2 linked regions of the Elephas maximus indicus genome follow. The protein of the gene in region 2 purifies or fractionates together with the protein of the main gene of each other region. This does not show direct contact. Links are inferred from orthologs where the notes say so. Each region holds a gene or a part of one and is shown on either strand. Other genes may lie near its edges. The genes, in order: FAM20B and GOLPH3.

What was found.
Region 1: the proteins of GOLPH3 (region 2) and FAM20B purify together in Homo sapiens (affinity purification with mass spectrometry; 3 studies listed by BioGRID and IntAct, with this or other methods). This does not show direct contact. The link is inferred for Elephas maximus indicus from reciprocal best matches to the Homo sapiens genes GOLPH3 and FAM20B.

What each region holds. Positions count from the first base shown.
Region 1 is NC_064842.1:41,938,929-41,954,619, reverse strand, and holds the start of FAM20B (glycosaminoglycan xylosylkinase), read right to left. Parts: upstream 5,708-15,691; 5' UTR 5,579-5,707; intron 1,960-5,578; exon of another isoform or gene 1,260-1,959; intron 1-1,259. UniProt on the Homo sapiens protein: Responsible for the 2-O-phosphorylation of xylose in the glycosaminoglycan-protein linkage region of proteoglycans thereby regulating the amount of mature GAG chains.
Region 2 is NC_064820.1:37,292,250-37,308,208, forward strand, and holds the start of GOLPH3 (Golgi phosphoprotein 3), read right to left. Parts: upstream 6,881-15,959; 5' UTR 6,614-6,880; coding exon 6,389-6,613; intron 1-6,388. UniProt on the Homo sapiens protein: Phosphatidylinositol-4-phosphate-binding protein that links Golgi membranes to the cytoskeleton and may participate in the tensile force required for vesicle budding from the Golgi.

The sequences.
Region 1 (15,691 bases), on a different chromosome or scaffold from region 2:
TGACAGCTTCATATGTCCTAAAAAGTAAAGCTCTTAAGAGCAACTTAGAGTTACTGGTATAAAAAATCTGATTCTTATAGTCCAATTTGGTCCCGGCATTGGATTTTCCTCACTGTTTTCATTTCCACTTAAACAGTTGTATCTATAAACTCAGAATCTCTTATGTGAAATCCTCTAATAGTCCCCTGTGAAGGATGCCAACCAAAACGATTACCAGGCATTAATGAGGCATTAAGGTAGCCTTTCTTCCTGGGTGTGAGAGTACAAATGGAACAGATATTAAAGAGTGTTTGTTCCCTCTTTGAAAAAAATTTAATTCCTATACCTCACCCCATTTAAACCTTGATTTAGAGCAACTCTCTAGCACTCTTCCTTGGGCATGGGGATGGGACACTTAGCTCATACTGCTGGTGAGATTTATTCTAAAAAACTAATATAGGCAGTGCACACTGATCTAGAAACTCTAGAAACGTCTAGGAATTTGCATTCTGCTTTAAATGGGCCAGGTATAACGAAGCTTCCTGGGTTCTAGATGTTTCACTGCCCAAGCTGTCGGTACATAACCACCACTTAAGGCTATCTTATAGAATACAATTCCTGTATAGTGTGGAAACATGGAATTTTAAATAAAATAATTTAAAGCAGATTTTCTTATGCTTTCCATTGTTACTGTTCATCTCACTACAGCTCTTGAAAAGGTATATAAGCTTTACACAATAACACCTCACATTTTAAACCTTATGTTCTAGATTGTATTAAGCCACACAGGCCACACAAGACCACTTTCAGAAATAGTAGAACCCGAAGCAGGTCTGTGCTGCAATTCTGGCTGGGCAGCTTCAAGTATGACCACTTTGTAAATATGAATATTTTCGTTCATTCATCCATTCTTGGCATGCCTGTCTCTACTATACTGGGAACTCCTTGGGTATAGGGAACATGTTACCCTCTTTGTTTTCCAAGTAACCTAGCACAATGCAAGGCGTATGAGAGGTACTCAATAAATGCTTGTTGAATAAAAGAAGTGTAGAGCAAAAGAAAAACGCCTTTATAAGAATTTATTCTGAACCATCAATTCTTTGATTTAAAGATGGCCCGTTACTGACATGGGGAAAATAAGCCCTGTAACAAATTCATATATACAGTACAGTCAAAATGCTGAAATATCTAATATGCATATCAACTTTATACGCTCAATTTAAAACAGCTGCCTTCTGTATACCTTTCTTTCACCTTTCAAGGCCACTGTTACTGCTAACCTGGTTCCTTGTGGTGGTTCGAAGTGGGAGCAGACACCAATCTAGAAATGCCAAGAGGAAGAATGGAGATGGCCCAGGACACTACCCAGGAATGAAGCAAGACAGGGCTGGAACCAGATCTTCACGTATTTTTGGCAATGCTTTCTGAAATGAGAACCAACGCTAGTACTTCCATATTATTTTCTTTTTTCTACAGAAAGAACTACCGAAACATAAATGTACCTATACAGAACTTAAGTTCACTACCTAAACCAAGGATGAGAAACAAGAAATAAACAAAAAAGGTCTTTGGGCAGCCAAAACAGTGGTTACCAAGTTCATACACTAATACTCAGACAAAAGCCAATAGACTCCAGTGCCTATTTAGCCGTTTGACATTCAATTTCAGGAGGCAGTTATCTTGGTTCCTACTCCACAGAAGATCAGAAGCTGTATATTTAAGAGAGGGCGGCAGGGACACCAACAGCAGCAAAAGTACAGCTTTCCCATCCTGGAAAAAGAGACAGACTGACTATAAAAAGTATATATAAGAATTCAAAAAGCAGGATGAACAAACAATCTACATATTTCAATCACCTCAAAGCATCACTTGATCATGTCAGTAATTGACACTGGCAGTCATTACCTTGAATCAACAAAAAAAGGTTACAGTATATTGTTTAAAAAGGAAACAAACTATGTAATACATTATAAAAAGTTTTTCTACAAAAAGTGTAGCTAAAATAAGAACTATGGCACAAAATACCCTATTTCCTAACAATACTAGGTAAATGCAGTGTGTTGCTAAAGCAGAAAGTCAACATTTGAGAGCACAGAATGATAGGGATCTTCTACTTCGTTCTGCCCGCTTTCCCACCACCAAAACCCACTGCCGTCGAGTCGATTCCGACTCATAAATCCTTGACATTTTCTAATGTACCCCAAGTAAAAACCCCTCCCAAGGGTTGTTACCTGGCCAGAAAATGTGGACCCCAAACATACACCAAAGCTCAACGTCTCCTTTCTGCATAAGCCTCCATTTCTCAGAATGGAATGACACACTCACCTCAAGATTCTTCAAGTCCAGAGCTAGGCGTACTTTTGTTTTTGATAAGAAAGACAAAAATCAGAAGTGAGATCTGTGCATTACATTCTCTTCTAGGCGATTCTAGCAGTCACGTTGACACTGTAGGCTGGTCAGAAGCTGGCTTCAGTAGTAGAGTAAGACCTTCTGCCCTGCACACCAGGTCCATGCCACTAAAGAAATCATGCAGTGGCCTTGAGGGTTAGAGGCAGCTCAAGGAAGGAGGAGAGTGAGAAATATATACATGCGGAAGGAGGAGCTGCTGGAGAAGCACCTCACCCAAAACCTGTTGCCCTTGAGTCAATTCCATCAAGTATTAGTGTATGAACTTTGTAACCACTATTTGGGCTGCCAAAGAACTTTTTTGTTTCTCATCCTTGGTTTAGATAGTGAACTTATATTCTGTACAGGTGCATTTATGTTTCAGCGGTTTTTTCTACAGGACAGAGTAGAACTGCCCCATGGGGTTTCCAAGGCTATAAATCTTTATGGAAGCAGACTGCTGTGCCACCAGGGTTCCTCAAGAAGCACCCTCTCCTATTTTGTCTCTCCACATGAGGGACAAGAATATGGGCAGTCAAGATCAATGCCACTGGCAGGGCCAATACCAAGAGCTCTAGATTCTTCTATTAATGCTAAAGTATTGACTACCAAGCCAATGGCTTAGGTGGCCTAGCCAGAGGAGGTGCAAGTCTGTGAAGCCACATCTTACCTGAGCACCACAGGCTGCTCCCAGGCCTGCATGTAGCTGGAGAACCATATAATCATAGAATCTCAGGCAGCTCCAGCAAGTAAAGGTCTTTTCAGAAACCCATCTCAACAGAATATTTTCAACAGGAGTCAGAAATAAATTTTCTTGGTTTTTGTTTTGACAAAAAGAGGAACTAAACAATTTAATACAATCACTAGAATATTTCCCCTACACCCTACTGTTTCCCATTCATTCGTTCAACTAATGAATATTTCCTGCATGCCTACTATGCAGTAGGCACTGTTAGGTGCAGAAAGAAAAGTATGCTGATTGTCGTAACTATTAAAACAAACTGTACTGTCTCATGCTAACTGTGGTCCCCATCCCAATTCACAAACCATCTGGCACTTAGTCCCACAGAGTGACCTTACGTCCATCATCAGAAGATTCTCCTTTTTGTTTGCAACTGCGACCAAAGAATACAAAGAGAACCTACTTTTTCTATTATGAAATGGTAGCGATCACCAAGAGACCACTGTGGTTAGCTATATTAAAAAGTTATCAATTCAAGAATGGAAGGATCTTGGGTTTATACCACTGAAATGACAGTCACACAAAGTACAGGAAGCTAAAAGTAAAGGAAACAAAGAAAATTTCATTTAGAAATTCAGAAAAGATAAAAAGCAGAAGCTTCAAGACAGTGTCAAAGAGTTGAAATCTACAAATGGAAATCAAGAGAATTTCTAAAAATTATCAACTCAACATAAAACAGTTCTATGATATAAAGTATTGTGAAAAATAAAGATAGAAATAGTGATTTTTTTTTGTTTGCTTCCTAGTCCAAAGTACCCAGGAAGATAAAGTAGGGCATATGTTTTCATTCTTTAACCAAAATGTAGTGATTTGCCTACTAGTTCTAAAGAAACAAACGGAACAAATCAATCTCACATTTTTACCAGCCAGAGAGATGGAAAGTGGTGAACTCCAAGATTTCTCCATCATCTTTTACCTCCATCCATTTCTATTGTTGCACTTTATTTAGTAGTGAGGCTGAGTCTGAATTACTTGCTTGTGCCTTTTCATTCCCCTTGTTTTTCTTTTTTACCTTTTTATTCTCCTTTAACAAGCACCTTCAAATGTGGAAGGGCCTCTATTACATGGTTCTAGGGTCCAAAGTACAATATCTTCACAAAGTTCAGAAAAGTTATTACTGGAAAGCATTACTTTTAAAATCTAACTTAGACTGTTTTTGAGCCTAGGCAAACAATTTAGCATCTTTAACATTTGTACCTCAATTTCTCAAAGACATGTCCTGGTGACAAATAATATATATGGAAATGCTCTAAGTTGCTTAGCTCAAAGGTCCTGCATACACTCATGGAATGTTTGTAAAACACAAGCATACTGAGGTCTCTAACCCAATTAAAAAAAAAAAGTTAAATTTATACATGAATTTATAACACAAGGAGGATAGACATAGTAAACAACAATGTTAACTTTATCAGATTACAGATTTATAAGTCCCAGAATTTAAAAGCTAAAAGACCCAGAGTCCAACCTCTTTTCAAGATGAGAAATCAAACCTCAGAAGGAAACTGGCTGGGTGGGGATGATACTGATACCTGGCTCCTGTCTCTGTAAGTAGCAGTATCAAGCATCTCTCATTCTCCAAATTACAAACTCCTCACCCATCCAAAAGGTGACATGGTCTTTAAAAAAAAACTATTGATTCCATAACGACTAACCATGCTCTGTCCCCTCCACTCTCCCTCCAACATCCTTCTCTGCCCACCCGGAGACTTGCACGTAACAGAAGTGTGATTAGACAGAATCTCTTATCAGACTCCACAATCAGGGATGAAGCTTGACAACTGCTCACATTCATCGTTAATAGCAACGCTTTGGGTCGCTCTTAATCGTGGGGCCATCACACCCGGAAACGAAATCTCAAGCGCAACCCACTGTGGAGTACCCTATCATTTCCTTAAGTTGTGCCCGACTGCGAGCGCGGGACACAAGCCCCGAACCCAGGGCACTGCCGCCCCCGCCTGCAGGTCGCTTGCGCTTCTCGGCCACGAGGCGGGCCCGGCAGGGACCCAGCGGGCGCGCGCCCCTCCCCAGGCCGCAGCAACGGGCGCTCGGAGGGACGCGAGGGCGGCACCTGGGCCAGGCGCCTCCATGGACCGCGCCCGGGCGCAAGGGCTGGTCACTAGAAGGACCCCGGGCGGCCCGAGGCGCCCCCAGGTAAGGCCCGCGCCTCCGTCGGGGCGGGGAGGAGCAGCCGAGGCCGCGTCCCCTCAGCCGTGACCCGCGAACGCCCGCAGGAGTGCGGCACCCGGCCTGTCTCCACGGCAGGGACCCGCCCGCGGCTGCTCCCGGACCCCTCGGGCGCGAGCGCCCGGCCCCTCAGGGAGGCTCCCCGCCCCCAGGCGGCCGTTGCCCGGCGCGCGCCACGCACCGCGCCCCGCCCGCGTGCCTGCCCACACTTTCCCGCCCGTCGGGCCGGGGCAGGGGTCGCACGCCCGCCCCCGCGCCCGTCCCCGCCCCCGCCCCCACGCCGCTCACCTGCCGGGCCCTAGGCTCGCTCCATGGCCGCCGGCGCGGTGCGGCGCGGCCCGGCCGCCCCCGCCGCCTCCGGGGAGGGGCAGCCCCACGCCGCGCTCACCGCCTCCAGCCGCCGCCGCCACTGCGGCTCCCGCCCATCCCCGGCCGGGCCATTCCCCGGCCACCTCTCCCTGCGCAGAGCCGGCCGTCCCACACCCACCCCCTCTCCTCGCAGCCCCGGGCTGTTGGTACCGTCCTAGCGTAACGCCTTCCTCGCGACCAATCCAAGGGCTCACTCGGCGCGGCCCCGCCCCCGTACTCCGGTGGGCGGGTCCTACTGACCGCGCTCGGGACTGCCCCTCTTTAACCCATTCCGTCCCGGGCTGGGACCTCTTCACCCTTTATCAGCGCCAGCTCACCTCCGTTTCTACTTCATTTCCCCGCCGCCCTGCCCCGCTTACATAAACTGGCCTCTCTCTTGCCTTGCTTTTTCCTTCTCGCTCGTCTTGGGCAGATAGGCAGCCAGGCAACGGGCCTGGAGAGTTGGAGTACCCCGGCCAACTTCTATTTGTGACAAGCAATTTCCCTTCTTTTGCCCTTTTGATTTACCGGACTTCTGCCTGGAAGTTCTGCCTATCCAAAGAGGCCAGCCAGCCTTCCTACACAAATTTCTTTTCCCTCAAACCAGAGCACAGTTCCTTGCTACAAGCTTTTAATAGCGTTTAACAAAATTGTGATTAATTTACTATATGATTAGCTGTTTAACGGCTGTCTCTTGCACTGGACTACGTGTAAGCCCCACGAGGGCAGGGTCGTCATGCCTGGGTGAGTCTCTAATGCCCAACACCCAGTAGGCTCCCAGTAAATAGTTTGAATGAAAGATTCTCGCTTCCCCTAAGTTCTTTACTCTGAGTTCATACAGAGTGTCTGTGTCATGGATTATATTGTGTCCCCCCAAAATATCTGTCAACTTGGATAGGTCATGACTCCCTTGTATGGTTGTCTACCATTTTATCTTCTGATGTGATTTCCCTATATGTTGTAAATCCTATTTAATTTAATTTTATAATAATTTCATTTAATGTAATAAGATGGATTAGCGGCAGTTATATTTTATAATAATTTCATTTAATGTAATAAGATGGATTAGCGGCAGTTATATTGATGAGGCCTACAAGATTAGGTAATGTCTTAAGTCAATCTCTTTTGAGATATAAAAGAGAGAAGTTAGCAGAGAGATGGGGGAACCTCATACCACCAAAAAAGCAGTGCCAGGAGCAGAGTTCATCCTTTCGACCTGCAGTTCCTGTGCTGGGGTGTCCCCAGACCAAGGGAAGATTGATGATAAGGACCTCTCTGCAGAGCCAACAGACAGAGCCTTCCCCTGGAGCCAGTGTCCTGATTTCGGACTTCTAGCCTACTGGGCTGCGACAGAATAAACTTCTCTTTGTTGAAGCCATCCACTTGTGGTATTTCTGTTACAGCAACAGTAGATGACTAAGACAATCTGCTTACTATATAATGCATTCATTCATTCATTCATTCACCATTTCCTAAACTTAGTGTGTCTGACTCCAAAACATTATAATGCACATTTCTCCATGGGATAAGATGTGTGATGGGGAAAAGACCGAGCTGACACCTTTTCAGATTACATTGTTCATTTAAGCAGCAAGGTATAGTGGGAAAAACTCCTTACTGACTTTATGATACTGAGCATGCCATTTAACCTCTCTGAGCATCCATGTCCTTAACAGGAAAATGAGTTAATCATAGTCTCTACTTCAAAGAGTTGTTATCAGGCTTATATTAGGAAATGTGTGGGAAAAGTACTTTTCAAATTGTTGTGTAATATTAGTTATTATTCATGTATGTGTTTACTATCAAGAGATCCTAGAGAAATAATTGGGTTGGTTACCAGCCCCTGACAGTCTACTTAGGGAGGCAACCCCTCTGAAGGAAGCATTAATCACTGCAAGGAGTGTACAGTCATGTGCAGAAGGCATTGGATAAACCTTTTTCTGGATATAGTTGAAAAGGATTAGGAATCTTTTCTGACCATGGATTACACAATCCTTGGGAAAATGAGCTGTACGGTAATGAGAGTCTAGTGTATATCTCTAAACAGGAACATTAGTCTACCTACAGACAGCTAATCCCCTTGAACCTTGCTCATCACATCCAGAGATCTGAAAGCAAAAGGGTAAATCAACAGTTCCCTAAGACCCTTTACCTTTCTTGCCTGTAACTGACAAGGATGACGAGCTGGACTCTCCTACTGTCACTGCTCAGAAGGCCAGCCTTCTTGCTGCCTCAGCTTCCTGGACAGATGAGTGCCTGTCTTTAGGACTTTCAGCTGCCGGACAGACACCCTTCCTCCTCTCTGTCCTCAGAAAAGAAGAGCCATGGGCCTCTGTGTCAAAGGCTTTCAGACAGCAAAGTTGTTCTGTCCCCCAGTTTTCTCTTCACCAGGCCACATTACCTAGGCTCTTTGTGATTGTGCCTGACCCTTCACGACTTTCGTTTCTCCTCCCTCCTCCTAATATGGGTCTTATTTCCCAACCAATCAACAGCCACTGTATTCTAGGTATTTAGCAGGTACAGTCATTTAAGAAGGGGACTCTGCCATCAGAGGGTTTGTATCACCAGCACACAGGAAGCAGCTGCAGGGAACACGGGACACTTAAATTTTGCAGCACAGACTCTGTGATGGCTGAAAGAATCAGAGTCCAGGAAGACAATGTGGGTTGGTGTGTCAGGGAAGGAACTTGAGATGAGCAAAAAACAGGTGAGAGAATAGAGGGACATTATGAACCAAAGTCAGGTAGCACCGCGTGAACTTAGAGACACATATCCTCAGCAGATGATCCATAATGGAAGAACCGTTCGTTCACTCATTCATTTAATGAATATCTACCAAGTGCCGGGCACTGACCTAGAGCCAGGCCATGCAAAGGTGAAGAAGGTCTGATTTTCATCCTTTACAGGCTCACAATCTGTCATTGAGAAATAGAATGAAAAGTCAAGCAGAGCCCTAGCAGGAAGATCTGAGCACTTTGCTAAGACCCCCAAGATGCTTCTCTCACTCTGTGATGTGTTGTGGTTGCAGGTGTCTTTATCTAATCTCCCGTTCCCCTCTCTATCCCCTGTTACCAAACTACAAGGCTCTTTAGGACACAAATTACAACTTTATTTCATCTTTATATTCCACGTGTGGAGTGCCTCATGCAGAGAACCTTCTTCATGTGATGTGTTGAAGTGCACTGAGTTGAAACCAGGATTGGAATTTGGCGGGTCCCTCTCCAGCCAAGAACGGCGTGGTTCTGTTGGTTATTAGGCCCTTGAGTGAAACCCTCCAGTGGCATGTCTGTGACCTGCTGAATGGGACAGAAACTCCTCTGCTTGCATTCACGGTCCCAGTCCACCTTTTCAGGCCCGTGGTCTGCTAATTCCTTACCCTCTGCCCTAAAGGGCCCACTTGCCCTCTGCACACTCCCCGTCCTCCATCCTCCACCCCTATTGGTATGATCACACCGGTTCTTCCTCCTGCACTCCCACTTCACCCCCACCCCAGGGTCCACCCATGAAAATGTTACATGGCTCTCAAAAGCCGCTTGCTCATGTAACCTCTCCTGACCTTTCCAACTGTGTGTGCTTTCCTCTGCTTCTGAGATCCAGTACTGTCTTTGCACCTCTCTTGTGGTATCGTTTATATTGAAGCCTTTGGGGCTATATCTGACCCCGTTCCACTGGACTGTAAACCCCTTGAGGCTGAGGACAGTGCTTTATTCATGTCTGTGTCTTCTGTAGCACTAACACTGTTCATGGCACATGGTACACACGCAACACTTGAAAAAAGAGAGTTTTAGGAAGAGCAGGATTGGCTGAGGTGGGAAACCAGGAGCCCTGGAGGTTTCTTTCTTAGCCCTATGGTAGGTGTAAACATTTTCCTTGAACTGTTTCAGAATTTCCAAATCTCTGCCAATTTGTAAGCCCCAGGACTCAAATAACAGTCCCACAACCCAAAGTATAAGATCTCGTGGTGCCTGCACACACAAACATAAAACACACACAGATTATTTTAACCCAATTAGTACACTCACATTGATGGGTCCCATTAAAGCTAATTACATTAATTCTACATCTAGAAAGTTGAGAGGAGCTATAGGAAAGCTGACTCTGTTCCAAGGTGCTAGAAGCCTGGGGAGAGGGTGACAGTGACAGGAAGAAAAGTGAGTGAAGGAGCACACATGTCCCTTTGTTCCCTGCTAGGAGTGTGTGCCACAAGTCTATTCTCTGCATTGGCTCTCAGTAGACAGCCCCTCTGCATTTCTTTCCCAAATGGCCAAACTCATTTCTTTCATTTTGCCACCAGCTCTGCAGAGCTACTCCTGGCCCTCCCCTCGTTTACAGCAACGGGACCACTCACTCAACCCTTCGCATGGCACCTCTGTCAGTGTCGATCAGAGAACCTTTCAAGTCCCAGTGACAGCTTTATAAAACCACATACAAAACAGACACACCCAATGTTATGGATAACATTGTGAAGAATGGGAATTCCAGAACACTTCATTGTGTACATGTGGAACTGTACATGGACCAAGAGGCAGTCATTCCAACAGAACAAGGGGATACTGCACTGTTTAAAATCAAGAAAAGTATGTGTCAGGGTTGTATCCCTTCACCATAATTATTCCATCTGTATGCTAAGCAAATAATCTGAGAAACTGGACTGTGTGAAGAAGAACATGAGATCAGGATTGGAGGAAGACTCATTAACAACCTACCATATGCAGATGACACAACCTTACTTGCTGAAAGGGAACAGGACTTGAAGCACTTACTGGTGAAGATCAAAGACTACAGCCTTCAGTATGGATTACACCTCAATATAAAGAAAATAAAAACTCTCACAACTGGACCAATAAGCAACATCATGAAAAAAGGAGAAAATATTGAAGTTGTCAAGAATTTCATTTTATTTGGATCCACAACCAATGCCCATGATAGCAGCAGTCAGGAAATCAACCGACATATTGCATTGGGCAAATCTGCAAAAGACCTGTTAAAAAGCAAAGATGTTGCCATGAGGACTAAGGTGCTCCTGACCCAAGCCATTGGTATTTTCAATTGCCTTATATGCACACGGAAGCTGGACAATGAATAAGGAAAATTGAAGAAGAATCGATATGTTTAAATTATGATGTTGGCGAAGAATATTGAATATACCATGCCAGAAGAATAAACTAATCTGTCTTGGAAGAAGTACAGCCAGGATGATCCTTAGAACCAAGGATGGTGAGACTTTGTCTCACGTACTTTGGACATGTTATCAGGAGGGACTAGCCCCTGGAGAAGGGTATCATGCTTGGTAAAGTAGAGGGGTCAGCAAAAAAGTGGAAGACCCTAAACCAAATGGGTTGATGCAGTGGCTGCAACAATGGGCTCAAACATAGCAATGACTGTGAGGATGGTGCAGGACCAGGCAGTGTTTTGTTCTGTTGTACATAGGTCACTGTGAGTCGGAACCAACTCAGTGGCACCTAACAACAGCAGCACAGCTTAACTGTTTAAAGTGTACAGTTCACTGGTTTTTAGTATATTTGCAGAGTTGAGCAACTCACGCTGAAGAAGTAAAGAGTTTTTGAAAATATACTTATCCGTCCATTTGATTATTAAATCTGCTCATTAGAAGCAAAAAAAAAAAAAAAAAATTAGGGACACAGGTTATTATTTTTAAACATTTAGAGTTAATAAGAATGCAAAGGAGATATGGCTCTCAAAGCTATGTTTCACTTTATTGCACGGATGGCTGCAGTAATGTAATTAAGCATTCCAAAATGTACAATTTGTGGTGGTATATACACTCTTGAATGAATGTCCAAGGCCATGTCTTTGAACATTTTCCAATTTGTTATGTCTTCTATAATGCCAGAAGGCTCTTCGATGGGTTTGGTATAGACAATACTGCAAATTCGGTATAGACAATATTGCTAATTCCCATAAAAGAGTAATTTTGTAATATGTCTAGGATGATGCCACATGCATATGGCTGTTTAACATACTTGAAAAAAAATTTTTTTTGATGTGATGGAAGATCTTGAATTTTTATTAACTCAATTTAAGGCATTTAAGTATTTGAAATTCTTGGGTCACCACTGCCAGTCACATGAAAGTTCTGGGTCCCTCAAATTCCTCTTACCAACTTTTCTTACAAAAAGCCAGCAAGCCTCCATCATCCACAGGTTAAGGAGTTAAGGGAGAAGGCTCTTTGACTCGGGAATGTGCTAAAATGGCAGTTCTCAATCTGGCCGTACAGTAACTTTTAAAAAAACATCCTTGTGTCTTTTCAGTCATCTCATATGCACGTAAAAGCTGTGCAGTGAAAAAGAAGACAGAAGAAGAATTGATGAGTTTTGAACTGTGATATTGAAGAATTTTGAATATACCATACCATGGCCTGCCAAAAGAATGAACAAATCAGTCTTAGAAGAAATACAACCAGAACGTTTCTTATACGGGAGGATTGTGAGACTTTGACTCACGTACTTTGAACATCATCAGGAAAGAACAATCACTAGAAAAGGACATCATGTTTGGTAAAGTAGAGGGTCAACAAAAACAAGGGAAACCCGCAGTGGGATGGATTGACACAATAGCCAAAACAATAGGCTCAAAGATACCAATATCATGAAGATGGCACAGGACCAGGTAGTGTTTTGTTCTGTAATATGTTAGGCCACCATGAGTTGGAGTCAACTCAACAGTAACTAACAACAGCAACATGCCTGCCCCTATTCTCAAAGATTAAAATTTGATTGTCTTCAGGTGAGGTCCTGGCAAGAGTATTTGTTAAAAGCACCTAGGTTATTCTCATTTGCAGCCAAGGTTGGGAACCACTGCTCTACTGGAGACTAAGCCAGAATCACTTAGCAGGTTGAACCATATGAAACTGCCATTTTTACAGGCCAAGACTAGATGAATATTGGCAATTTCATATGCCTCGGTCTAATATGTGCGCAATTGATTTTTATTTTCAAAGGGAGGTGGATTGGTCTTTCAGAACACCTGCTACCAGGAAACTAGTCATTTCTCTCCAACCCCCCACCCAGTAGTAAGTGAAGGTAAGAGAGATGTGACAAGGAAGCCAATGACCTGGGTGGTTAAGATACTGCCCTTGGTGGATCAGACCCTCTGCATCTTTCCTCTCAGTGGGGCTTAAGCATTCAGAAGCCTATGGCTGCCAGCCACAAAGGGGAATGAGTGAAGCAGGCCAAGGATGAGACAACCAGAAGTGTTGAGGAACACAACAAATCAGAGAGAACTTTGTCCCTCCTTCAATTGCATTAACAAAAAATATATATATATATATATATACACACACATATATATGTATTAGAGGTTCTTTTTTTTACTTTTTATTGAACTTTAGATGAAGGTTTACAGAATAAGCTAGTTTCTCATCAAACAATTTCTACACACATCATTGTATGATATTGGTTAACAACCCCATGACATGTCAATACTCTCCTTTCTCAACCCTGGGTTCCCTATTACCAGCTTTCCTGTTCCCTCCTACCTTCCAGTCCCTGCCTCAGGGCCGGTGCACCCCTTTAGTCTTGTTTTGTTGCACGGCTTGTTCAATCTTTGGCTGAAGGTGAACCTCAGGAGTGGCCTCATTACTGAGCTGAAAGGGTGTCCAGGGGCCATACTTTCAGAGTTTCTCCAGTCTCTGTCATGCCAGCAAGTCTGGTCTTTCTTTTTGAGTTAGAATTTTGTTCTACATTTTTCTCCATCTCTGCCCGGGACCCTCTATTATGACCTCTGTCACAGCAGTCAGTGGTGGTAGCCGGGCACCACCTAGTTGTACTGGACTTAGTCTGGTGGAAGCCATGGTAGATGTGGTCTATTAGTCCTTTGGATTAATCTTTCCCTTATATCTTAAGTTTTCTACATTCTTCCTTGCTCCCGAAGGGGTGAGACCAGTGGAGTATCCTGGATGGCTGCTCACAGGCTTTTAAGACCCAGGATACTACTCACCAAAGTAGAGTGTAGAATATATTCTTTATAAACTCTTATGCCAATTGAGCTAGATGTTCCCTGAGACCATGATACCCACAGTCCCCAGCCCAGCAATTCAGTCCCTCAGGGAGTTTGGATGTGTCTGTGGAGCTACCATGGCCTTGCCTGTACAGGTTGTGCTGGCATCCCTAGTGTTGTGTACTGTCTTACCCTTCACAGAAGTTACCGCTTATCTACTGTCTGTTAAGTGTTTTTGCATCCCAGCATCTCCCCGCCCTCATAACCATCAAAGATTGTTTCTTTTTGTATGTACACCTTTTCATGAGTTTTTACAGTAGGGGTCTCATACAATATTTGTCCTTTTGTGATTGACTTATTCCACTCAACATAATGTCCTCCAGATGCATCCATGTTATGAGATGCTTCACAGATTCACTGTTGTTCTTCAGCATTGCATAATACTCCCTTGTGTGTGTGTACCACAGTTTTTTAATCCATTCATCTGTTGATGGGCATCTAGGTTGTATCCATCCTTTTTGCTATTGTGAACAATGCTGCAATGAACATGCATGTACATCTATTCGTGTGATGACTCTTATTTCTCTAGGATATATTCCTAGGAGTGGGACTGTAGGATCATATGGTATTTCTTTTTTTTTTTTTTAATTTTACATTCTATATTCCATAATCTATATTGTATAATCTATAATCTTCTATATTCTATATTTTATATCCTGTATTCTGTAGTCTAGATTCTCCATTCTATGTTCTATATTCTACGTTCTTCTATATTCTATATTCAATATTCCATACTCTGTAGTCTATGTTCCATATTTGATGTTCTATGTTTTATAGTCTGTATTTTTCTATGTACTATATTTTTCTGTATTCTATATTATGTATTCCATCGTCAATATTCTATATTCTATGTTCTGTATTTTATATACTTCTGTGTTCTGTTTTCTATACTCTTCTATATTCTATATTTTATATTGTACATTCTATATTCTCCTACGTTCTATAATATATATTCTTCCATATTCTATAGTCTGTATTCTATATTCTACATTTTATATTCTAAATTCTTCTATATTCTTTAATCTTCTCTATTCTCATTTGTGTATTCTATACTCTATGTTCTGCATTCTACATTCTTTGTTCCATTTTTTTCTATATTCTAAATTGTACATTCTATATTCTACCTTCTAATCTCTATGTTTTATATACTTCTGTAATCTATATTCTATAGTCCATATTCTACTTTCTATATTCTTCTATATGTTATAATCAATATTCTTCTACTTTCTATATTCTTCGATATTCTATATTCTATATCCTATATTCCGTACTTGTCAATATTCTATTTTCTTCTAAATTCGATCTTCTATACTCTATAGTCTGTCATCTATATTCTTTATTCTTCTATATTCTATATCTTCTATATTCTAAATTTATGCTCTATATTCTTCTATATTCTGTCTTCTATATTCTTCAATATTCTGTATTCTATAATGTATATTCTATATTCTCCTATATTCCATATTCTTCCTTACTCTCTATTCTATCTTCTTTTTTCTTTTATACTCTGTATTGTATATTCTATGTACTATGCTCTTCTATATACTATATGCCTCTATATTCTATATTCCATATTCTACATTCTGAATTCTTCTATATTCTACATTCTTAATTCTATATTCTATGTTCCATATTCCTTTATATTCTATTTCTATATTTTTCCATATTCAAAGTTCTATATTTCATTCTCTGTATTCTATATCGTATATTCAAAGTTCTATGTTCTATATTCTATATTTTTCTGTATGGTATATTCTATGTTCCATACTCCATATCCTATATGCTATATTCTACATTCTCTATTCTATACTTACAGTCTACAATCTATATTTCATGATCTTCTATATTCTATAATCTGTATTCTTCTATATTCTATATTTTATATTCTGTATTCTACATTCTATATAACAAATTCTATATTCTATGTTCTTCTATATGCTATATTCTTCTATATTCTGTATTGTAGTTTCCTATTGTCTATATTCTTCTATAATGTATATTTTTTTGTGTGTGTATTTTTTTTTATTAACTTTT
Region 2 (15,959 bases):
AGGAGGAAGTAAAGTTATCACTATTTGCAGATGACATGATCTTATACACAGAAAACCCTAAGGAATCCTCCAGAAAACTACTGAAACTAATAGAAGAGTTTGGCAGAGTCTCAGGTTATAAAATAAACATACAAAAATCACTTGGATTCCTCTACATCAACAAAAAGAACACCGAAGAGGAAATAACCAAATCAATACCATTCACAGTAGCCCCCAAGAAGATAAAATACTTAGGAACAAATCCTACCAAGGATGTAAAAGACCTATACAAAGAAAACTACAAAGCTCTACTACAAGAAATTCAAAAGGACATACTTAAGTGGAAAAACATACCTTGCTCATGGATAGGAAGACGTAACATAGTAAAAATGTCTATTCTACCAAAAGCCATCTATACATATAACGCACTTCCGATCCAAATTCCAATGTCATATTTTAAGGGGATAGAGAAACAAATCACCAATTTCATATGGAAGGGAAAGAAGCCCCGGATAAGCAAAGCATTATTGAAAAAGAAGAAGAAAGTGGGAGGCCTCACTCTACCTGATTTCAGACCCTATTATACAGCCACAGTAGTCAAAACAGCCTGGTATTGGTACAACAACAGGCACATAGACCAATGGAACAGAATTGAGAACCCAGATATAAATCCATCCACGTATGAGCAGCTGATATTTTACAAAGGACCAGTGTCAGTAAATTGGGGAAAAGATAGTCTTTTTAACAAATGGTGCTGGCATAACTGGATATCCATTTGCAAAAGAATGAAACAGGACCCATACCTCACACCATGCACAAAAACTAACTCCAAGTGGATCAAAGACCTAAACATAAAGACTAAAACGATAAAGATCATGGAAGAAAAAATTGGGACAACCCTAGGAGCCCTAATACAAGGTATAAACAGAATACAAAACATTACCAAAAATGATGAAGAGAAACCAGATAACTGGGAGCTCCTAAAAATCAAACATCTATGCTCATCTAAAGACTTCACCAAAAGAATAAAAAGACCACCTACAGACTGGGAAAGAATTTTCAGCTATGACATCTCAGACCAGCGCCTGATCTCTAAAATCTACATGATTCTGTCAAAACTCAACCACAAAAAGACAAACAACCCAATCATGAAGTGGGCAAAGGATACGAACACAAATTTCACTAAAGAAGATATTCAGGCAGCCAACAGATACATGAGAAAATGCTCTCGATCATTAGCCATTAGAGAAATGCAAATTAAAACTACGATGAGATTCCATCTCACACCAACAAGGCTGGCATTAATCCTAAAAACACAAAATAATAAATGTTGGAGAGGCTGCGGAGAGATTGGAACTCTTATACACTGCTGGTGGGAATGTAAAATGGTACAACCACTTTGGAAATCTATCTGGCGTTATCTTAAACAGTTAGAAACAGAACTACCATACAACCCAGAAATCCCACTCCTCGGAATATACCCTAGAGATACAAGAACCTTCACACAAACAGATATATGCACACCCATGTTTATTGCAGCTCTGTTTACAATAGCAAAAAGCTGGAAGCAACCAAGGTGTCCATCAACAGATGAATGGGTCAATAAATTGTGGTATATTCACACAATGGAATACTACGCATCGATAAAGAACAGTGACGAATCTCTGAAACATTTCATAACATGGAGGAACCTGGAAGGCATTATGCTGAGCGAAATTAGTCAGAGGCAAAAGGACAAATATTGTATAAGACCACTATTATGAGATCTTGAGAAATGGTAAAAACTGAGAAGAACACATACTTTTGTGGTTACGAAGCGGGGAGGGGGGAGGGAGGGAGGGAGAGGATTTTTTATTGATCAATCAGTAGATAAGAACTGCTTTGGGTGAAGGGAAAGACAACACTCAATACATGGAAGGTCAGCTCAATTGGACTGGACCAAAAGCAAACAAGTTTCCGAGATAAAATGAATGCTTCAAAGGTCAGCGGAGCAGGGACGGGGGTCTGGGGAAAATGGTTTGAGGGGATTTCTATGTCAATTGGCAAAATAATTCTATTATGAAAACATTCTGCATCCCACTTTGAAATGTGGCGTCTGGGGTCTTAAATGCTAACAAGCGGCCATGTAAGATGCATCAATTGGTCTCAACCCACCTGGAGCAAAGGAAAATGAAGAACACCAAGGTCACACGACAACTAGGAGCCCAAGAGACAGAAAGGGCCACATGAACCAGAGACCTACATCATCCTGAGACCAGAAGAACTAGTTGGTGCCCGGCCACAATCGATGACTGCCCTGACAGGGAGCACAACAGAGAACTCCTGAGGGAGCGGGAGATCAGTGGGATGCAGACCCCAAATTCTCATAAAAAGACCATACTTAACGGTCTGACTGAGACTAGAGGAATCCCGGCGGCCATGCTCCCCAGACCTTCTGTGGGCACAGGACAGGAACCATCCCCAAAGACAACTCATCAGACATGAAAGGGACTGGTCAGCGGGTGGGAGAGAGATGCTGATGAAGTGTGAGCTAATTATATCAGGTGGACACTTGAGAGTGTGTTGGCAGCTCTTGTCTGGAGGGGGGATAGGAGGATAGAGAGAGAGGGAAGCTGGCAAAATTGTCAGGAAAGGAAAGACTGAAAGGGCTGACTCAATAGGGGAAGAGCAGGTGGGAGTACGGAGTAAGATGTATGTAAACTTATATGTGACAGACTGATTGGATTTGTAAACGTTCACTTGAAGCTTAATAAAAGTTAATAAAAAAAAAAAGTAATCTGTACTGTAGATTATAAATGTGTTAAAAGTTGATAAAGCCAATGAGAATGAACAATCACCTTACAAAAAAAAGGCCAAACACAAAAGAAAGTACAAAACTGGGCAAAATACATCTGAGCTAAATTCTAAAGTCAGGCTTAGCAGTTACCCCTGAGGAATAAACAGTGACTGGAAAGGAATTAAGTGGGGCTCCTAGAGAGCTGGCCAGGTTGTTTCTTGCTCTAGGTGCTGGTTAAATGGGTGTATTCAGTTTGTGGAACTTCATCACACTTATGATATACAGGCAGTCCCCAGACTATGAAAGAGCTCTGTTTCTAAGTCTGTCTTTAAGTTGAATTTGTACTAATAGGAACGGTTCATATCTAACGTTAGTAAGTCAAATGTTTGTCTTGGTATATAGTGTACCTTTCTATGCATAAAAAACACGAAATACCTCCACATACAATAAAACATCTTTAAAATAATAATACAGTAATAGTAATGTTTTGTTTCGTGTCACAAAGTAACATCCATTTGTTATTACAAACCATTGTACATACCTCAAATTTGTAACATAATGGGCTTTACAAAGACTGGTCCGGAACTACGGGTTATAAATAAGGGTTGTAAGTAAGTCAGATGTTCAAAACCCGGGGACTGCCTGTATGTACTTTTCTGTAGGTTTATTAGTCTTCAATTAAAAAAAATTTGTAATAAGCCATAAAACGTAAATTGATAGTCATAGTTTTTTAAGAAAGTCAAATTAAAATTAATTCTACCAATGAGCAATTCTTATTTTTTGATGGTCTTGATTTCAGATGGTTAGCTTCCATACATATAAATTAAACCCAATATTAATAACCTACCTAATTTTAGAGTTTAGCTTTTAAATATCTTAAGAATATCCAGATATTGTAACGATGGATGCTAAGTTAAAAAAACAAAATTCAAAGAGTAAATTTATTAGGTTATATATTATGGCTAAAGTTTTGTATCCAATTTCTGTGTGGACTTAACCACACAGAAAAGTCTCAAAAACTATTAATATGAATGAGAATAAATGCCTAGGCTCTAGCAATTCCTGCCCCCTAAAAAAAGTGATACAAGTTAAAGACATGGGGGGGGGATACTTCCCCAAAAGAAAAATACATGAATAATTGTACTGAGAGGGCTAGATATTAGTATATAAAGATGTGATGACAGGAAAATATATACATAAGCTAACGTTTAAAACCACAAATCTAAAGCAATGCAAAATTCCAACCTCCTCCTCTTCCCTCTCAACTCCCTGGACTTGTCTGCAAAAAAAAAAAAAAAAGTTCCCTATGTGGTTTCTGAAATCAGCAAGGGTAGCTCAGGATTAGCTAGTCTGGACCTTGGCCATAACATGCAAAGTATAGTGACTCCTGACACAAAATAAACACAACAGATGGTTTTCATTACCTGCACCAAAGAACTATGAATTGTCTCAATTTCATAAGTACCATTAAACTTCAACAAATTCTTTAGATCATCTTCACAAGAACCACAGAAAAACTGTATGTTAATATGCTTTAGCATAAACATTCAGAGTAACATATACTTTAAAAAACAAAAAAAAGTAGTTTCTCACCATAACTTCTCATTTAGTGTGACTCAGAGTGCCAGATGCTAGTTTTTGTTTTGGTTTTGGTTGTTTGTTTTTTATGTTTTCATTTTACACAAACACAGGACTTAACCACACAGAAAAGTCTCAAAAACTGTAAGCCAAAATGTTCACACAGGAATATGGGTGATTTCTTCATTTTCCCTTTTTGTATTTTGTAAAATGTCTGCAGTGATCTGTTACTCTTCTCCCAAAGGAAAAAAAAAAGACTTAAGCAAGTTTATTAGCAAGATTCCAAATTGTGATGCCTAAAAAGGTAAGTTGAATGCTTTTTAAAATCACATTACTAGGAAACTGTAGATCTAGATGCTTTTTCATCCAAAACAGGATAAAGAAATTTCTCATATAGCCTACCTCTTCTCATCAAAACTCAGTAATTAAACAGGTACTGGGCCCCTTTCACAGCCAAGGGGACTGAAATAAAACAACTTTTTTCAAAGTGATTACTAAAGCCAGGGCAAATGGGAAACCGAGATATTGCAAAAGCTCTTCGCATTTCTATCAAGGTAAACTTTTTTCTCAAGTATCAGGAGTCCACAAACAGCCCACGTAATTAGAACTCATCTGTATCTGTCAGGTTTTGATGAATTCAGAAAAAAAAACTAAGTTATTTTACAATACTGAAACTTTTTTGCCCCCCTCCATGAATCTGTAATGCTCTTAGAAATAAAACTTGGGATTACTTTTGAGTTTGACTCTCAGTACCTGCTGTCTGCATTTTCCACGCTGAGATAAAACAAGCTTCTGGGACTACCTCACCATACTCTTCTCTGAGGGTATGCAGATCTGTCTTTAATGACAATCATTTTTGTACATGTAACAAACCAAACCGTTAACTGTTTCACGTATCATTCATTTTTCAACTTTTCCAAACCTATGCGCGAAAATCTTCATAAAATATTGGGGTGAAACTAATCTTTTTTATAGTAAGAACACAAAGAAATATCTTTCACAACTTTAACCTACCTAAAGGCTTTGGGGCAGCGGTTAAGAGCTTGGCTGCTAACCAAAAGGTCTGCAGTTCAAATCCACCAGCTGCTCCTTGGAAACCCTAGGAGGGAGTTCTACTCTGTCCTCTCTAGGCTTGATATCGGTCGGAACTGGCTCGATGGCAGTGGATTTGGTTTCTGGAAACCCTGGTGGCATAGTGGTTAAGTGCTACGGCTGCTAACCAAAGGGTCGGCAGTTCAAAACCGCCAGGCGCTCCTTGGAAACTCTACGGTGGCAGTTCTACTTCGCTATAAGTCGGAATCGACTCGACGGCACTGTGTTTGCTTTGGAGATTTTTCTTTAAAGGCTTTGAGGCCTCTCATCAAATTATAAACATAGCATTTCAAGCACCCTACATAAAAGGCCCTTCCTGAAAATGGCAAGACTTTGAGAATAGTCAACTGACAATTTAAAGGCGCCACTAAAAATAATCTCTCACCGAACGCCAAGTTCACTCAAAAAGTAACTTTCCAGGAGGGTCCACAAGGATTTTGTTTGACTTTTAACTTTACTCAGCAAAATAACTTTTGTCTCCACTACCACTTCACCAAAAATTTTCATAATTGCAACAGTGCGCCTTAATTGGGGGAAAAATTCCCCAGAAAGCAGATCCGTGTACTCCTCCCAGGTCCTCAACCCTGCAAAACCCGTGAGTTGGGGGCGCTGGAGGTTCCAGATGTTTTCACTCTAACCTACAGTCTCCAGGCTGGAGCTGCACCTGGGGTCTACACGGGTTAATCAAGCAGGAAAAAAATCAAGGAGGAAATGCAGACTGCCAGGGTGTCGAAATGAAAGTGTGCCCGTGGAGGGAGGAATGGAAAATCCAAGCAATCTGTACTGGGAGGATGTGGAGAGCACAGGGCCAGTAGAGGGGAAACTAACTCCAACACTCCTCGGGGCAAGTTGGCGCCCCGGCGCGGAACTCGGGAGCGAGACAAGCAGGCGTGCGGGGCCGCAGTGGGCGCCCACCTGGCCCGGGCCCCTGGGGCCGCCCCGCCCTCGCCGTCGCGCCCCTACCTCTCGGTCCTTGAGGCCCAGCAGGAGCACCTCCTCCATCAGGGTCAGCCGCGTTTCCTTGGAGTCGCCCTTGTCGTCGTCGTCCTGCTCGTCGCGGCGGCTCTGCGCGTCGTCCTCGCCGTTGCTACCGCCGCCGCCCGCCGCCCGCTCCTTGTCGGCGGCGTTGCGGGAGGCCTCGGTGCGCCGCTGCACCAGGCCCGAGCTGCGCTGGGTCAGCGAGGTCATGGCTCCGGCCGAGGCGCCGGGCCGAGAGGGACACGGGACCTACCGGGTCTTCCTCCTCTTCCTCCCGCGGCCCTGGACCGCGGCTTCCGTGTTAAACCCGGGCGCTGGAGCGACGTCCGTCGGCAGCGGGGCCGGGGGCAGTCATGGGGAGACGGGCCGGGGCGGGAGCCGGCGGGCCAGCCGTCGGCAAGATTGGTGAGGAGCTCCTTCCTCCCCGCGGTCGCGGCCCCCGAGGCGCCCAAGCTCCGAAGCGGAGGAGGCGGCGGCGCCTTTCCAATATGGCGGCGCTAGCTGACGTCACCGGAGGATGTGGCAGAGTCGGCGCGGGGCGGACCGGACGGAGCCGGAAGCAGCGGGCGGGGACGCGGCGGCGGGCACGGGCGGAGACTCGCCGTAGCTGATCCCCTTCGCGGGCCCTTGGCTCCGGCCCGCGCCTGCCCTTCCCGGCGCGTCCCTTCGCCACCCGACCTGCCATCCCCTACCTGTGACGTGTCCTTCCTGCGCCTGCGCCCGCTCCTCCTCCCCTCACCTCACGGGCTGCGGCTGGCAGACAAGAATGGGGGAGCAAGGGGTGGGCACTGCTCAGCCTCGAGCTGTGCTCTTAGAATCCTGGACACCACAGTCTTCGGTGTTGGGTCCTTGGCCCGGGTGGCAGGGAGCAGGCTTAGCGTCCCCGCGAGATGAACGAAGGGCTTTGCTCGCTGCTGGCGGGGCGAGGAGAGGGCGCACTCTTTGCCCAGACTCTCTGGACCTTCGAAAGGAACACCAGCATATAAAGGGTTTTAGAATGGGATTGTAGTGTGTTCTAGGTGTGTTAATACATGAAAACAGAGGTTAGAAGGAAATTTAATAGTTTTGTTCATATAACTTTTCCTTACCTCTCGACTTGCGCTATAAAGTGACCAGGCTGCAGTAAGTACAGTTAGTGTTGCACACGTTAGCCCACTCGACCTTAACGACCTTTTTATAGAAATCGTAAACCTGTTGGGTTGCATGCCACGTCTTTGTACATATTAAATCTTTCAATTTAATTACTAGGTTAAATTCTCTTGGCGTGCTTGACAGTTTGTGTTACAGGGCAGGGCTTCCCAGCTGGGGACTAAGCCCTGCTTAGGTTCTTACCTTCTTCTGACCGAGAATGACCAGGAGAGGCTCTGAGGTTCCACACGAACAAAGGTTTATTAGTGACAAAAAGAAAGTAAAAAGGCTCTCAAGGGAGAGATGGAGAGGGGTTTTCCACCTATGCTAGCCTCCAGTCTCTCCTGAACAAAGGATTTCCTAGGGTTTATAAAAGGTTTTCTTCCTTCATTAGATGGGTGGAGATTTCCAGGAGAAGAGGAGGGATTATGAAAATCAAATGCGTGCGCAGTTGGAATTCAAGATGGATTTCCTCCCAGAGGTTGTTGGAACTAAGATTGAGTCTGTCAGGAGGGCTGCTGGGCTGTCGAACGGGAGTTAATTCTGGGCTGTTAGGCATGCAGTGATGTCTCTGGCTCCAGGTTCCAGTCCGGCAAGGGATCCCTGCTTGTGATTATCTCATGTGGAAGGTCATTCATAGGTTGCCTTGATTTTTAATGCACATGCCATGCACCTGGTAGGGACTTGAAAAACAACTCAGGAGGGTTATCAGTAATTTATAGCTGGTCAAGCATGTAGGACTAGGAAATATGGCCTCTTATCTTGTCCAAGCACCTAGTTTGTTAATCACAACTAGTCCTCGAGTGCCAGCAGTAAAAGTTACATGGTGGTCTGCACTTAGGTATTTTTAATTTATAACTATTCAAGCACACAGGGGCTTGGAATGTAGCCCCTTATCTTGTCTTAGCACCTAGTTTGTTAATCCCAAGTAGTTCTCAGGTGCTAGCAGTAACAGTTATATGGAGGTTTGCACTTAGGTTTAGATTCCAAGAATACTTGAGTCAGAGGCATTTAATTATAGCCGGCCCTACCTCTTCCCTGTCTCATTTGGGCAAATTATGTTAAGGATGGATGTCAAACCTGAGGGACGGTGGAGCTTGTATCCAGTAATGCCATCCAATATTACTTAAACAGTGACCACAGGCTGTTACTAAATGGTTTAGATATGAGAACTGTATCCTTGTAAGAGGACTGAAGCTATAAAAGGTAGCCAGTGAATGAAAAAACGTCCACTATAACACTATAACAAGTCAGTAGGCCACGCTGTCTGCAAGATGCTAACTGTTGCCCCCTATCCCTCAGCCACCACCCCCCCCCCCCCACACACACAGAAACCTACTATCCAGAGCTCGCCCTGGCTCCTCCACTACCCAAATCTTCCTAAATCTTCTCCTCCTGAGGTGTGCACAAAGTAAGTTGTTAGGTACCCTGGAGTCAATTTCAACTTATAGTGACCTTGTGTGACAGACTGGAACTACTCCATAGGGTTTTCTTGGCTGTGATCTAACAAAAAGGAGCTCTCATGGCACAACAGTTAAGCACTCAGCTGCTAACCAGAAGGGTGGCGGCTTTAGTCCATCCCCACCAGGAGAAAGATGTGGCAGTCTGCTTCTGTAAAGATTACAGGACATGGGTTGGAGGATGGCGTCTTCCACAGACAGGACAGATCTGGAAGCACCTTGGCCTAGTTTTGAAAAACGTGACCGTGGCTCACCAGACCTTTGGCCCGAACGAATACCAGGTGTTGCTGAATTTGCAGCTTCCTTCAAAAAGTCCTATTTCTAGCTCTCCACCTATTTCTGGCTGAAATAGAATGTGATGGTATTGACATGTTGAAAGAGCTGGGCATCTCACCACAGCTAATTTAATGGAGAAGGTATGAGGCCCTCAGAATCTGGCCTTCGAGCTGGGTCTGGATGAGTCCAGAGAAATGACAGGAGGGAAATTCCTCAACATTCTAGAGAAGCCCAAGGAGTAGCCGCCGCTTGTGGACAGAATGTCCTAGGAACTGTAACCATGCACCCTTCCCAGTGCAGCTCTGAGCATGCACATCTCACTGCTTCCTCAGGACAGGCAGGGGGCAGGGTTGTACCTCCAGGACTGACCCGTCCCTGCTTCTGGCGCTCTACACCTCTGAGGACTTTGGGCAGCAAGAGAAGAACCTGCAGTACCCAAGGATCATTGCAGTTATTCAAATCAGCTTCCAAACTTTGACTTACTTAGCCTTCGATGTGGCTAACACCAGATGGTGTATCATTCTTAAAGGTTAAATAAATCCTGTTTCCTCATTTCCAGAAGTGATTCAGGAGCTCCAAGATCTTATAGATGATTTGACTCAGTGATGGCAAAGCCGATTGTGATATGTTGATTGGATGGGTTCTTTTGAGTTGTACTTGATCTGTAAGGAAGTATTTATGATGCGAGGAAACCAGATACCAGCCAGATTCTGGACCGGACCATGCAGCCTGACCTGTGAACTCTCCAATATATACTGGGTTCCAAGAATCCCGAGTTGGAGAAACCAGAGTCTTCTTAAAATGTACAGCTGCTTTTTCAGTTCTACACTTCTCGTGATAACCCCATCCTCCAATGCATTCCTCACCTCCCAGCTCCTGCCACTGGTTCTGACTCCAAGGAAGGGGATCCCTGAGTAAGGAGTCTTTCCTGGGATTAGTCTGAGTAGTGAAAGCCTCATGCAAGTTTACGTTAGGTTCTAGACCTCAAGGTCAATACGAAGGTAGCAGAAAGAACTTTTGAGTTCTAGATAATCTGTTACACATTCAAGCCAGAAATCCGGCCTGAAACAAAAGGGGGTTGGCTGATTTGCAGGAACCTAAATAGATTCAATGGCAACAGGTTTGGTGTTTTGGTTTATTTGGTTAGAAACTAGAAAGCCTCACAGACCTTAAAGAAATGTGCTGTGGGATGGTGGCAATGTTTTGTCCCCCTTGTCCCCTCACACAGCACATTTCAGATACTTCACCTGTCTGACAGAAATACATACACACAAGAGAGAGAATTTCCTGACTTAAATACAACTCTTAAGAAGCTCTTCACCAGTTGTCTGCCCGCGTTAAAATCTGAAAATCTGGTCCATGGGCAAAATCAATTACACGTGTTTTCCCTATTTTGTCTTGTAAGCCAGCCCCCAGCCTCTGACATTTTAGAAGTACATGGGGTTTCCTACACTTTATGAAAAGAGCATCCATGTGGCAGTAGCCTACTAATATTTGGACACAAGTTTCCATCCTGAATGTCTGTCCTAGAGTGCAGCACTTTCCACTTCACCAGTGGGGCCATCAAGACTTGTGCCTTGTTTCCCACGCTAGAATTAATGTTGGGTTTTCATCTCGTTTGTGCCATTTGAATATCCATGCAATTTACCTACTGAAAAGGAAAAACAATTGAACATGAGACACAAAGGTTGAGGAAGGAGGAGTACATTCTGCCTGGTGCTACATAGTTTAGGTTGTGAAGGCAGTGATTTTAAGTTAAGCTTATTGACATTCCTTTATTTCACTAAATGCGGCTGAAGTGTGTCTCTGTGGCCAAAAAAAAAGTGCCATAATGTCAAATTCTTCCTTGCTCTGTCTTTGAGAGTTGATGACATCAGGCACTTTTAAATGCATGGGGAATATTGGGATACCTCCCCCTGTCTTAGTTATCTAGTGCTGCTGTAACAGAAATACCGAGTGGATAGCTTTAACAAAGAGAAATTTATTCTCTCACAGTCTAGGAGGCTAGAAGTCCAAATTCAAGGTGCCAGCTCCAGGGGAAGGCTTTCTGTCTCTGTCGGCTCTGGGGGAGGGTCCTTGTCATCAATTATCCCCTAGTCCATGAGCTTTTCAGCCTAGGGACCCTGGGTCCTGAGGACACGATATTCTCCCGGCTCTTGTTTCTTGGTGGTATGAAGTCCCCCTGTCTCTCTACTCACCTCTCTCTTTTATATCTCAAGAAAGATTGACTTAAAACACACCCTAATTTTGTAGATTGAGTCCTGCCTCATTAACATAACTGCCACTAATCCTACCTCATTAACATCATAGAGTAGGATTGTCAACAGATAAGAAAATCATATCTGATGAAAAAACAGTGGACAATCACACAATACTCGGAATCATGTCCTAGCCAAGTTGACATGCATTTTGGGGGGACACAATTCAATCCATAACACCCTGCAAACCAACTGAGGTCTGTAACCTGCCGTTATGAGGTTGGTTTTCTGGTCCGCTTTGACCTCTTTCTTTTACTGTCATCTTATTCACCAGCACTTAATGTAAGAAGATGTTATAGAATTCTGATATTTTTTGGTTCTATATTTGTCATCCTTAGAAAAGTTAATGACGTGTTTTTATATTGATAATATAATTTTATGTACAGTATGTATGTGTATGTATTTCAGGATGTTAGAGGATTGAACTTGGTATACAATGATTTCTGTGCCTTTGTTATGAATATATTCCTTTTATAGGAAAAAAAATTATACCCTTGGAAACCCTGTGAGGCAGTTCCACTCTGTCCTATAAAGTTAACATGAGTCAGAACCAACTAGGCGGCAACAGGTAACGGATAATCTTTACAGGATCAGATTGCCAGGTCTTTCTCCCATGGACCCGATGGTTAGCATGAGCTCTGAGCTCTTAACCGTTGCACAACCAAGGTATACAAAATATGCCCTCACTTTTTCCTGTCTTTCTGTACAAAGATCGTTTTTGCCTCAGCCAATTTCTCCCATTCACATCCTCTGGAACTCTTTTTTTTTTCCTTCATCTTTCTTCTAATGCTTTCCCAAATAGCTGAAATTGTGTTCCTTCTTTTTTTAAGAAATGTAATTAATAGCTCATTTGACCAATTAATATATTTGCATAGTTCGAAGAGTATAAAAATGTATATAGTGAAACCCTAAGGAATCCTCCAGAAAACTACTGAAACGAATAGAAGAGTTTAGCAGAGTATCGGGATACAAGATAAACATACAAAAATCAGCTGGATTCCTCTACACCAACAAAAAGAACATCGAAGAGGAAATCATCAAATCAATAGCATTTATAGTAAAAGAAGATAAGATACTTAGGAATAAATCTTACCAGAGATGTAAAAAACTTATACAAAGAAAACTACAGTGCACTTCTGCAAGAAACCAAAGAGACTTACATAAGTGGAAGAACATACCTTGCTCGTGGTTAGGAAGGCTTAACATTATAAAAATGTCTATTCTACCAAAAGCAATCTATACATTTAATGCAATTCCGATCCAAATCCCAAAGACATTCTTTAATGAGATGGAGAAACAAATCACCAATTTCATATGGAAGGGAAAGAGGCCCCAGATAAATAAGGCATTCCTGAAAAAGAAGAACAAAGTGGGAGGCCTTACTTTACCTGATTTTAGAACCTATTATTCCACCACAGTACTCAAAACAGCCTGGTATTAGTACAACAACAGATACGTGGGCCAATGGAACAGAATTGCGAATCCAGACATAAATCCATCCACATATGAGCAATTCATATTTGACAAAGGCCCCAAAACAGTTAAATGGGGAAAAGACAGTCTTTTTAACAAATGGTGCTGTCATAACTGGATATCCATAGGCAAAAAAGTGAAACAAGACCCATACCTCACTCCACGCACAAAAACGAACTCAAAATGGATCAAAAACCTAAATATAAAATCTGAAACGATAAAGATCATGGAAGAAAAAATAGGGACAATGTTAGGAGCCCTAATACATGGCATAAACAGTATACAGAACATTATAAGGAATGTAGAAGAAAAACTAGATAACTGGGAGCTCCTAAAAATCAAACACCTATGCTCATCCAAAGACTTCACCAAAAGAGTAAAAAGACTACCTACAGACTGGGAAAAAGTTTTCAGCTATGACATTTCTGATCAGCACCTGATCTCTAAAATCTACGTGATAGTGCAAAAACTCAACTGCAAAAAAGACAAATAACCCAATTAAAAAATGGACAACAGATATGAGTAGACACTTCACTAAAGAATCCATTCAGGTAGCTAACAGATATATGAGGAAATGTTCACGATCATTAGCCATTAGAGAAATGCAGATCAAAACTACACTCAGATTTCATCTCACTCCAACAAGGCTGGCATTAATCCAAAAAACACAAAGGAATAAATGTCGGAGAGGCTGTGGAGAGATTGGAACACTTCTACACTGCTGGTGGGAATGTCAAATGGTACAACTACTTTGGAAATTGATTTGGCACTTCCTTAAAAAGCTAGAAATAGAACTACCATACGATCCAGCAATCCCACTCCTTGGAATATATCCTAGAGAAATAAGAGCCTTTACACGAACAGATATATGCACAGCCATGTTCATTGCAGCACTGTTTACAATAGCAAAAAGATGGAAGCAACCAAGGTGCCCATCAACGGATGAATAGATAAATAAATTATGGTATATTCACACAATGGAATACTACACATCGATAAAAAACAGTGAGGAATCTGTGAAACATTTCATAACATGGAGGAACCTGGAAGGCATTATGCTGAGTGAAATTAGTCAGCTGCAAAAGGACAAATATTGTATAAGACCACTATTATAAGAACTGGAGAAACAGTTTAAACTGAGAAGAAAACACTCTTTGTGGTTGAGAGAGAGGGGAGGGAGGGAGAGTGGGAAAGGGGTATTCTCTAATTAGATAGCAGATAAGAATTACTTTAGGTGAACGAAAAGACAGCACACAATACAGGGGAGGTCAGCACAATTGTACTAAACCAAGTTTCCTGAATAAACTGAATGCTTCGAAGGCCAGTGTAGCAGGGGCAGGGGTCTGGGGACCATGGTTTCAGAGGACATCTAAGTCAATTGGCATAATAAAATCTATTAACAAAACATTCTGCATCCCACTTTGAAGAGTGGCGTCTGGGGTCTTAAATGCTAGCAAGCAGCCCTCTAACATGCATTAATTGGTCTCAACCCACCTGGATCAAAGGAGAATAAAGAACACCAAGGACACAAGGTGATTACGAGCCCAAGAGACAGAAAGGGCCACATGAACCAGCGACTACATCATCCTGAGACCAGAAGAACTAGACGGTGCCCGGCTACAACCGATGACTGCCCTGACAGGGAACACAACAGAGAATCCCTGAGGGAGCAGGAGAGCAATGGGATGCAGACCCCAAATTCTCATAAGACCAGACTTAATGGTCTGACTGAGACTAGAAGGACCACGGTGGTCACGGCCCCCAGACCTTCTGTTGGCCCAGGACAGGAACCATTCCGAAAGCCAACTCTTCAGACAAGGATTGGACTGGACAATGGGTTGTAGAGGGATGCTGGTGAGGGGTGAGCTTCTTGGATCAGGTGGACACTTGAGACTATGTAGGCATCTCCTGCCTGGAGGGGAGATGAGAGGGTAGAGGGGGTTAGAAGCTGGTGAAATGGACATGAAAAGAGAGAGTGGAGGGAGAGAGCAGAGTGTCTCATTAGAAGGAGAGTAATTGGGAGTGTGTAGCAAGGTATATATGGGTTTTTGTGTGAGAGACTGACTTGATTTGTAAACTTTCACTTAAAGCGCAATAAAAATTATATTTAAAAAATGTGGTATGGTGAAAATCTTTCTTCCAACTACCCCTATTCACCCAGTTGTTCCCCTTTGTGGTAGATTTAAAATGTGTTAACAAATTCTTTGATATTCCTCCCCTCATAAAGTGGAGCCTAATTCCCCTCCCTTTGAGTGACTCTCTTCCAATAAATAGAATACGGCAGAGGTGGCTGTGTGTGACTTTCTAGAATAGGTCATAAAAATCCTTGCAGCATCTTTCTTTCTCTTGTGGGTCCTTCACTTTTGGGAAGCCATATCATAAAGACACTCAAGCAGCCTTATGGAGAGGTCCACATGGGGAGGAACTGAAGTCTCCTGCCAAGAGCCATGTGAGGGAGCCATGTTGGAAGCAGATGCTTCATCCCCGGTCAGGCCTTCAGGTGAATCTCATGAAAGATTCTGAGCCAGAACCACACAGCTAAGCTGCTCCCTAATTCCTAACTCACAGAAACCGTGAGATTATATATGTGTGTTGTTTCAACTGCTAAATTTGGAGTAATTTGTTATGCAGTAATACATACACAAACACACACAAACACAGATAACCATTGATATTAGTTTCTTGGATACCCTTCCAAAACTTTTTAATGTAGATTCAAGCAAATACGAAAATGCTTTTCCTCGTTGGAAAACTTTGCATATCAATACTGAAGAGCTTCTTCACGCTTTGTCTCAGCTACAGCATATTCTATAGTATGAACATACCATACTTTGTTTAGCCAGTCCCCTATTGATGGACATTTAGGTTGTTTCCAATCCTTTGCTATTACAAACAATGCTATTAAAAAAATGATAAATAGGCTTTTCCCCAAAAAATATACACTTGCGGTCTATTTATGCA